Oryctolagus cuniculus: one gene and its partner. The protein of the gene in region 1 purifies or fractionates together with the protein of each later gene. This does not show direct contact. Links are inferred from orthologs where the notes say so. Each region holds a gene or a part of one and is shown on either strand. Other genes may lie near its edges.

What was found. Proteins that work in one complex are often made in the same cells at the same time.
Region 2: the proteins of EPN1 (region 1) and PHGDH purify together in Homo sapiens (affinity purification with mass spectrometry; 3 studies listed by BioGRID and IntAct, with this or other methods). This does not show direct contact. The link is inferred for Oryctolagus cuniculus from reciprocal best matches to the Homo sapiens genes EPN1 and PHGDH.

Annotation. Positions count from the first base shown.
Region 1 is NC_091449.1:3,309,716-3,314,678, forward strand, and holds part of EPN1 (epsin-1), read right to left. Parts: intron 1,636-4,963; coding exon 1,332-1,635; intron 911-1,331; coding exon 800-910; intron 664-799; coding exon 577-663; intron 1-576. UniProt on the Homo sapiens protein: Binds to membranes enriched in phosphatidylinositol 4,5-bisphosphate (PtdIns(4,5)P2). Modifies membrane curvature and facilitates the formation of clathrin-coated invaginations. Regulates receptor-mediated endocytosis.
Region 2 is NC_091438.1:50,856,214-50,861,176, forward strand, and holds the end of PHGDH (D-3-phosphoglycerate dehydrogenase), read right to left. Parts: intron 3,983-4,963; coding exon 3,850-3,982; intron 2,340-3,849; coding exon 2,209-2,339; intron 1,383-2,208; coding exon 1,145-1,382; intron 409-1,144; coding exon 254-408; 3' UTR 124-253; downstream 1-123. UniProt on the Homo sapiens protein: Catalyzes the reversible oxidation of 3-phospho-D-glycerate to 3-phosphonooxypyruvate, the first step of the phosphorylated L-serine biosynthesis pathway.

The DNA.
Region 1 (4,963 bases):
TAAGACTCTCTGAAGTGGGGTTCCCACCCACTCCCCAACAGGTCACTGCCAAGAGAGGGGCAGCCTGCAGAGCCGGGGGGCTACCCAGCCGCCCGCACGGCCAGGCCCTGTAGCCAGCAGGACGCCTGCTGGGGCCGCCCCCCAGACTCTGGTCGTCAGAGGCCGGCCTTCAAGGGGGAAATCTCAAAAGGACAATTCTCTGTGCCACTTCTAGACGCTTTCTCTGAATACACGATTACTCAAAACAAAGCCGCTCTTCTCTGCCCACTGCAGGTGGGGCAGCGGCTAAGGCGCCACTTAAAACCCAGCTTCCTGCCAGTGCACAGCCTGGGGCGCGGCAGGGATGACTGGAGCTGGCGCTGCCGCCTGGTGGGACCTGGGTGCCGCTCCGGGCCCTGGTTTCAGCCTGGCCCAGCCCCAGCCGCTGCGGGCGTTTGGGGAGTGAACCAACGGGTGTGGGATCTCCATCCACCTGCCTCACACACAAGACAGACAGACGCACGGATGGCTCCGTCCACCGAACGCTTCACCCTCACATCCGGCCCGAAGGCTGCACTGAGGGGGCAGGGGGCTCACCTGTGCTGCTCCCAGAGGTTGGCAGGGCCGTGCGGAGCCGGTCGAAGTCAGAGAACTCATCGAGCTCTGGGTCAAAGCCCCCAGCTGCTGTGGGGGTGGCAGGGGCGGGAGGCTCCACTTAGCACCTGCCCTCCTCCGACCCCCATCTCCTTCCCGCGTCTGTGCCTCAGGACCCGGGACGGCCACTCTCACCCCCACCCCCAGGCCCGGAGCCACCTCGTACCTGCAGTGCCGTTGGTGCTCGGCTTGGCAGGGGAGCCCCCCCAGGGGTCTGAGAAGGCTGGAGCCGGTGCCCAGGGGTCAGAGGCCGGGGGTCCACTGAGCGAGGCCCCTCCTGGGTGACCACGGAGGCACAGCAGGGCTAGCACCCTCGCCTGCCACTCAGACCCAAGACCTCCCGAGGCCCACCTCCAGGTGCTCGTCTTCTCCCCAGGAGCCTTCCCCAGCCCCGGGCTCTCACACACAAGGCCCCGCTGCTGCACCTCTCCCCGCCCCTCACCCAGCAGGGCGCCTAGCCCGCTGGGCTCCACCGCCCCTCACCAGGTCCCGCTGCTGCACCTCTCCCCGCCCCTCACCCAGCAGGGCCCCTGGCCCGCTGTGCTCCACCGCCCCTCACAAGGCTCTGGCTTGACCTCTCCGCCCCACGGCTGAGCAGTGTCTCCCTACAGGTCCCCATCCCATGCCCTCTCCTGAGCCCCACCCCAGGGCACCCAGGGCACCACCCCCCGCCTGGCACACGGGCGTCGGGAACTCACCATCAGAGCTTCCCCACGGGTCAGGTGTGGGCCCCTCTCCAGCTGCGGGGGCCGAGCTCCCTCCCCAAGGGTCCACAGAGGGCCCTGCGGGGGCAGCAGGCCTCCAGGGGTCCCCAGCAGCCGGCGTGGGGGCTGGGCCGCCCCAGGGATCAGCAGCTGGAGGGACAGCGGGTCCCCCCCACGGGTCCGAGGCGGGGGCAGCCGTGGGCATGGCGGTAGCCATGGGTGCTGGGCCCCCCCAGGGGTCAGAGGCCGGTGGAGGCGCTGGGGCTGTGAAGACGTCAGCGAGATCCATGAGGGACGACTACAGCAGGAGACAGAGGGGAGCGTGAGGGCACGGGAGAGAGACGCCCCCAAGTCCCAGCCAGCCCTGGCTGGAGCCGGGGCAGGATGACGGAGAGGGCCCGAGCCAGCCCTGCAGACACCTGCGCGGCCCCCACCTTAAGCATCCCCCATCTGCTCACCTCTGCCCCCCCAAGGAACTAGGTGGTCCCCCCAACCCATGGAACTGGATGCCTCCTTCCATCCACCTCCCTACTGCCCACTCGGCACACACACACAGGACAGGCCGTGCACACACACACACACACACACACACACGCCCCAGCTCTGCAGTGCACACACACACACACAGACGCCCCAGCTCTGCAGTGCACACACACACAGACGCCCCAGCTCTGCACACACACACACACGCCCCAGCTCTGCAGTGCACAGACACACAGACGCCCCAGCTCTGCAGTGCACACACACACAGACACACAGATGCCCCAGCTCTGCAGTGCACACACACATGCCCCAGCTCTGCAGTGCACACACACACAGGACAGGCCGTGCACACACACACACACACACACACACACCCCAGCTCTGCAGTGCACACACACACACCCCAGCTCTGCGCACACACACACACGCCCCAGCTCTGCACACACACACACACACACACCCCAGCTCTGCAGTGCACACACACAGACGCCCCAGCTCTGCAGTGCACACACACACACACGCCCCAGCTCTGCAGTGCACACACACACAGACGCCCCAGCTCTGCAGTGCACACACACACACACAGATGCCCCAGCTCTGCAGTGCACACACACACAGACGCCCCAGCTCTGCAGTGCACACACACACACACAGATGCCCCAGCTCTGCAGTGCACACACACACACACAGATGCCCCAGCTCTGCAGTGCACACACACACAGACGCCCCAGCTCTGCAGTGCGCACACACACACACACGCCCCAGCTCTGCAGTGCACACACACACAGACGCCCCAGCTCTGCAGTGCACACACACACAGACGCCCCAGCTCTGCACACACACACACACAGACACCCCAGCTCTGCAGTACACACACATACAAATGCCCCAGCTCTGCGCACACACACACACAGACACACCCCAGCTCTGCAGTGCACACACACACAGACGCCCCAGCTCTGCAGTGCACACACACACACGCCCCAGCTCTGCAGTGCACACACACACAGACACACAGACGCCCCAGCTCTGCAGTGCACACACACACAGACACACAGACGCCCCAGCTCTGCAGTGCGCACACACACACACACACACCAGCTCTGCAGTGCACACACACACAGACGCCCCAGCTCTGCAGTGCACACACACACACACGCCCCAGCTCTGCAGTGCACACACACACAGACACACAGACGCCCCAGCTCTGCAGTGCGCACACACACACACACACACCAGCTCTGCAGTGCACACACAGACGCCCCAGCTCTGCAGTGCACACACACACACACGCCCCAGCTCTGCAGTGCACACACACACAGACACACAGACGCCCCAGCTCTGCAGTGCACACACACACACACGCCCCAGCTCTGCAGTGCACACACACACAGACACCCCAGCTCTGCACACACACACACCCCAGCTCTGCACACACACACACACAGACACCCCAGCTCTGCAGTACACACACATACAAATGCCCCAGCTCTGCACACACACACACACAGACACACCCCAGCTCTGCAGTACACACACACACACACACCAGCTCTGCAGTGCACACACACCCCAGCTCTGCAGTGCACACACAGACACCCCAGCTCTGCAGTACACACACACACACACACACACGTGCGCCCCAGCTCTGCAGTGCACACAGGACAGGACATGTACACACACACACACTCACTCAAGCAGCACCCAAGTTCTGGGGGTGAGCACAGGACTGGGCCCAGCTGACCAGAGTCCCTTTCCCCTGGAGTGGAATTCCCCCCAACACCCACACCCACAAAGGGCCCCAAGAGGAGAGAGGAACTGAGTCTTGTCCCAGGGCACCCAATGGAGGCAGGCAAGGTGGGCACCACCATCTCACTCCCCACCGTTCTGCCCTGGTCCGAGAACCTTCCGGCTAACACCGGCCTAGGCAGGCCTTTCCACCTGTCAAAAGAGCCACAGGGGGTCCCATGGCCCATGACAATCTACCCACTGCCCATTCCGGGGAGGGAGCCCCACCCCCACCCCTCCAAGTAGGGGCCGTTCCCACAACCTGCTCTGAACAGCAGCAGGTAGCAAGGCCAGGCCAGCTCCCAGCCTTTCCCACAGGGCGGCACTGGCACCCACTGGGTCAGCACAGAGATGAGACGGGGAAGGCGCTGGGGGGTGTCCACTGGGTCAGCACAGAGATGAGATGGGGAAGGTGAGGGGGTGGCCCACACAGGGCAGCGCTGGCGCCCACTGGGTCAGCACAGAGATGAGACGGGGAAGGTGGGGGGGTGTCCACTGGGTCAGCACAGAGATGAGACAGGGAAGGTGGGGAGTGTCCACTGGGTCAGCACAGAGAGGAGACGGGGAAGGCGCTGGGGGGTGTCCACTGGGTCAGCACAGAGAGGAGACGGGGAAGGTGGGGGGTGTCCACTGGGTCAGCACAGAGATGAGACGGGGAAGGCGCTGGGGGGTGTCCACTGGGTCAGCACAGAGATGAGACGGGGAAGGCGCTGGGGGGTGTCCACTGGGTCGGCACAGAGATGAGACGGGGAAGAGCTGGGGGGTGTCCACTGGGTCAGCACAGAGATGAGATGGGGAAGGTGAGGGGGTAGCCCACACAGGGCAGCGCTGGCGCCCACTGGGTCAGCACAGAGATGAGACGGGGAAGGTGGGGGGGTGTCCACTGGGTCAGCACAGAGATGAGACAGGGAAGGTGGGGGGTGTCCACTGGGTCAGCACAGAGATTAGACGGGGAAGGCGCTGGGGGGTGTCCACTGGGTCGGCACAGAGATGAGACGGGGAAGGCGCTGGGGGGTGTCCACTGGGTCAGCACAGAGATGAGACAGGGAAGGCGCTGGGGGGTGTCCACTGGGTCAGCAGAGATGAGACGGGGAAGGTGGGGGGTGGCCCACATAGGGCAGCGCTGGCGCCCACTGAGTTGGCACAGAGTGGAGACGGGGAAAGCAGTGGGGAGTGTCCACTGGGTCAGCACAGAGATGGGGAAGGCGCTGGGGGGTGTCCACTGGGTCAGCACAGAGATGAGACAGGGAAGGCAGTAGGGGGGTGTCCACTGGGTCGGCACAGAGATGAGATGGGGAAGGCGCTGGGGGATGTCCACTGGGTCAGCACAGAGATGAGACAGGGAAGGCAGTAGG
Region 2 (4,963 bases), on another chromosome or scaffold:
CCAACCCAAGCCGTTTTGCCCAGCCCAGTCTCCCTTCATACCCGTACCCTCCCGGCCAAAACCAAGCCTCACGGCTGCCCTCTGGTGGCTCTTCGGGACAACGGCAACACACCACACAAGGGGTTGGGAGCGGGCTCTTTATTAGGTGGCTATTGGGGTCCTACAGGGTGAGCATAGAGCAGCTGTCACCCTGTCAGTCACAGTGGCTATGCGTCTTCAGGAAGGCCTGGAGGCTGGGACAGTGAGCCCACGTCTAGAAGTGGAATTGGAAGGCCTGGGTCACATGCTGCCGCCACTCCTCCAGGCTGGGCAGCAGGGAGGAGATGCCCATGACGTGCCAGGTCTCTCCATCCGACACCATCGAGGTCTGGTAGGACAGCAGCTGCACGCCTGCCTCTGCCAGGAGTCCTGGAAGTGGAAGAAGCCTCAGACTGACCCAGGGCATGAAGGAGGGGGAAGATGGGGGCTGGTAGCAGAGTGAGGCATCTGCAATCAAAGTTGCGATGGGGTGGAGGTGGCAATGGCCTTAGAGTCAAAGAGCTGAGACAAAGGAACAACAGGGCACCTGCCCGCTGCCCCCGCTATTCCAGAGACTCTTCAGAACCACCCAGACCACCGGGCAGGCCAGGGCAGGACAGATCTGGCCACAGAATGGTAGGCTCTGCCGTGCAGACTGACAGATGTATCCAGGCTGGCCCTTCAGAGTCTGGTTGGACACATGCTCTGCAAAACCCAAAGGTGCTCCAAAACCCCCAGCAGCCTAGGTCCCAGGGGCCCGGGGCAGGTCTGGGATGCCGGTGACCACTGGAGGGGATGGCTCTGTAGGACTTGCTGTAGCCAGGCACTTGCTGGCAGGGCCTAACTGTGCTCCACATGGCCAGCTCAGAACACATAGTCAAGGCGGTTACAGCGGCTCTGGTTGCACCTTTCACATTGCCCTGGGGCAAGGCACTTGCTTTTTCTGAATTCGTTACCCACACCGGGATATTCTGGGAACTGCTCTGTAAGGCGCGGACCCGGAGACACCAAAGCATGGAGAGGGACTGAGGAGGCAGAAAGTCCTTGGGACCCAATTCCAGAGCAGACGCCCCCCACCCCCACCCCACTGCCCCTGCCCTAACCAGCTCCCCAGGGCCCTTCTCACCAATCATCGTAGGCAGCAGAGCCGGGTTGGAGGGCTGAGCCCGGAACATGAGCAGGGGCAGGCCCCGGCGGAGAGGCACTTCTGGCCTGAAAACAGCTCCGTTGAGAGCCTGCAGCACAGGTGTGGTGCCCTGGACCGAGCCCACAGCCTGGTAGGGGGCACCTGCCAAGGCCACGGTCAGGACGCATTCCCCACTGCCCTGCTCCCCTGCAGCAGTGTTGCTGTGGGAGGTGGTGACCTGCGGAGAGAAGGCCAGGAGGCCGTGACTCCTCCTGGCTGCATCCCAGCAGCCCTCCCCCTGGGCTCCAGCCTGGCCAACAAGGTCTCCAATTCAGGGCTGAGGCTGGGGGCGGTGTGGAGGGAGGGCAAATGGACTGAGCTGGAAAACAGTCACAGACCTCCCTAAGGGTCAAGGGCAGGCAGAGGCTTGCAGGGGAGGGGTGGGAACCACGCAGAGGAAGGGAGGGAGGGAGATTGGGCTGTGAGGAGGCCTCCACCGCTGAGCTGATGGGCACTTCCTGCTCCCACCTGCTGCTTCCTGCACAGCACCAACGGCCTGCCCCGGATGGAGGGAGGAGGGGCCTGCAGGCGGGGCCGTGGGAACGCTACTGCTTGTTGCTCCTGCCAGCTCCCTCTGACTGAGAAACTCAGTGGGGAAGATGCCAAAGGGAAGCCAGTGAGGCAGCAGAGACCATGCCACCTGGGGATAAAAGGCAGCACGAGCAAAGGCGCTGGGCGCTGTGGAGTATGGGACCTGGGTGGAGAGCCAGGGTGGACAGAGCTGGGCCTTCTCCAAGCCTCTGGTCTGGATCAACCCAGCTCCTGGGTTCCTCAGCTGGGCCACGCAGGCACTGCCACCACGGGCTGCTCACAAGCACTCTCCTGAGGCCCAGGGCACCCAGCAAGGCTCTCCATTTTGCAGCAGAGATGAAAACCACCTCTCACAGGGGCACCCGGTGTGCACCCAGGATGGATGTCAGTGAGGGGCACTCAGCATGTGGGGGCTCTGAACATGTGGGGGCGCCAGCAGCGCTGACAGGGGACACGTGGGGATGCGGACGCACAGCGAGGCCAGCCTCCTTCACCAGCAGCTTGGCGTTCACCAAGTTCACTTCCGCCTGCTTGGAAGCTTCTTTCAGGAGGCCGACTATGACAGCGGGGCTTAGGCAGTTCCCTGCATTCTTCAGGGATGCTCCTGGGGACAGAGAGACGCTGCCATAAGGTCACTTTGTACGGAGTGCCACAGAAGGCGATGCAGTGGGTCAAGGCTGTTGCGTGCAGCACCCGCATCCCACAAAGGAGTGCTGGTTCCAGTCCCAGCTGCTCCACTTCCAATCCAGCTCCTTACTAATGCACTTGAGAAGGGAAAATGGCCTAAAGAATCTGGATCCCTGTCAACCACTTGGGAGACCAGGGTGGAATTCCTGGCTCCTGGCTTTAGCCTGCTCTAGGTCTGGCTGACACAGTCATTTGGGGAGTGACCCAGCAGTTGGAAGCACTCGCTCTCTCCCCTTCTCTCTCTGCTACTGTGCCTTCCAAATAAAGAATCTTTTAAAAATAATCAAAATTAAAAAGGGGCTGGAGGCCACTACTGCTAGCTCCAGGCTTTGGGCTGCAGTGTGCCCTGCGCAGTCCCCCTTCTCCCACAGCGGGCTCAGAGGCAGCCATGGGAGACATCCAGGTTACTTAAGCAACCTAAGAAACTCCTTGGCAAAGCTCAGCCCAGCTCTGCTGCTCCCTACCAATGGCTTGGCTGCTCTGGGCTGCCTGCTGCTCTCCCAGGAGCCACTGAGAAAATGTCCTATCCCATCCTACTTGGCACTCAGCCCCTTGTGGGCCCAGGAAAGGAAAGTGGAAAGCCGCGGTTGCTACACTGCTGCCCTGCCTTGTTCCTTCCTGGAGCTGGGCACCCAGGGGGTGGGGATCCCCAGGCTCTGCCCTTCCCCGGCATTGTCAATGCCTGGCGTTTAACTGCCCACACCCTGCAGTCTCTCCCAGCATGAAGATGCCTAGCAGGCAGTGGGAGAGGACCAGCCTCCCCAGGGTTCAGGGAACTGCAGCCCTCCCTGGTCACCCAAGCACATCTGCATGGTGCTGGCGATGCTGAGGCCACCACAGGCTGCTCAGCAGCCCCGGGGCTGAACACAGGCCCTGCTCTCATCCTCCTCCATGGCCGAGCAGACACCCGAGGACTGCGGACTGCCCCCCTTAGCAAGTCACAGAGCACAAAACATCCCCATCGCTGCACCGGGAGCATCCACCCACTGGCTCTCCCTCGCCATGTAAGGGACCCGAGGCTCAGAAAACGGAAAGACAAACAGTAGGTAAGCAACAAGGTCAAAGCCAGAATTAAGCCCCCTGGTGCTTAATTTGGTTCTCCCTCCACCGAGCCCACCACATCTTGCATGAAACTCTCTTGTAGAGGTTCTCTCTTGCAAACAAAACAAGTATATCTTGCAAATACTACACAGAATGACTTTAGAAAATTCAACACCTCTTCCAAGGAACTCTGCATACTCCTTCCCTGTGTCTCCAGCCTGGCAGTGGGTGAACTGCTCTCAGAGCAAGGCCGGGTCTCCTGTCAGACTCATCCCAGTCTCTTACCAGCTCTGTGCAACACCCCCAGCAAACCTGGCCCATGACCCCTTTCTCAGCCCCTTGCTATGTCCACATGCAGAGGGTGATGCTGAAAACTCCGGGCTCACCCTGTGTCACCACCTGGATGGTCCCTTTGGGGGATCCAGCCCAGGCTCGCATCAGAGTCCCCAGAGCTTCTGCCAGGCCAATCCAAGGCTTGGTGTGTGGAGAGAAAGCGCTGGTCAGGGCCTCGGCATTCACCTGCAGGGAAAGGGGGGGCAGTGCTGTAGTCAGGAAGAGGCAGGCCAGGGGCTCACCTGCCCGACTTAGCAACCACATCAAGGTTGTGTTGCTGAGAGCTGGACAAAAGGGCCTGCCTTGCTTTGGGTGCCTGGTGGGTGGCAACTCCCGCCAGCCAACAAAGAGACAATGACTTGTTCCTGCAGGGGAGCTAGAGAGCCAGAAATGGACACAAAAGGCCAAGAACACTCAAAATGACTAGGGGCGGGGGGCATTTCCTCCATCAAGGAGTATGTCAGCCTTGCCTCTCTATGAAAACTTGGGTTCACCTGTGCTGGGTTAAGGTCTGGAGAGCACAATGCGGGGGGGGGGGGGTCTTTGGCACAAAAAAACACATGGCATCCCATGTGCATCTCCCTTGGATGGCATTCTACACTTGATCTTAGCCAAAAGGCCGGGAAGCGATAGGATAGCATTCTAAGCTTGTCTTCATTTCTCATCTTCTGCCTTGATGGCCCTGAGTGTTTACGTCCCAGTGAAACACCATGAACACATAGCACAATGCATAAAGCCAGATCCATGATCTGGGTGATCACTTCATGCTGTGAGTCCACGGTGAGGCAGGACATGATTTAGGGAGGCTCAGGAGGCCGGCTGGCACAGAGGGTTCATGTTGGCAGGTGTGGGGAGTAGGGTGAGACCCTGACTATGGACGGGACGGAAAGAGTGCTCTGGGAGTTTACTGGGTGCAAGCTCCCTGCAGAGGCCTTGGGAACAGGCCAGCTTGCCGCTCGCCCAGGGCCAGCTGTCACCCTAGCAACACTCCTCCAGCCCCAAGGCACCAGGAGAACAAAGCCGCCTTTCTCTAGTGGCTGGGCCCTGGGAACCGCCAGTGTCTGCAGCAGGGCCACAATGTAGCAGGGATGCCCCAGGGCTGACCATCAAGGCTGGAGACAGAGCCCCCTGCCCCGCCCCCTGCTCCCTGTGACTTTAGCTTCCAGG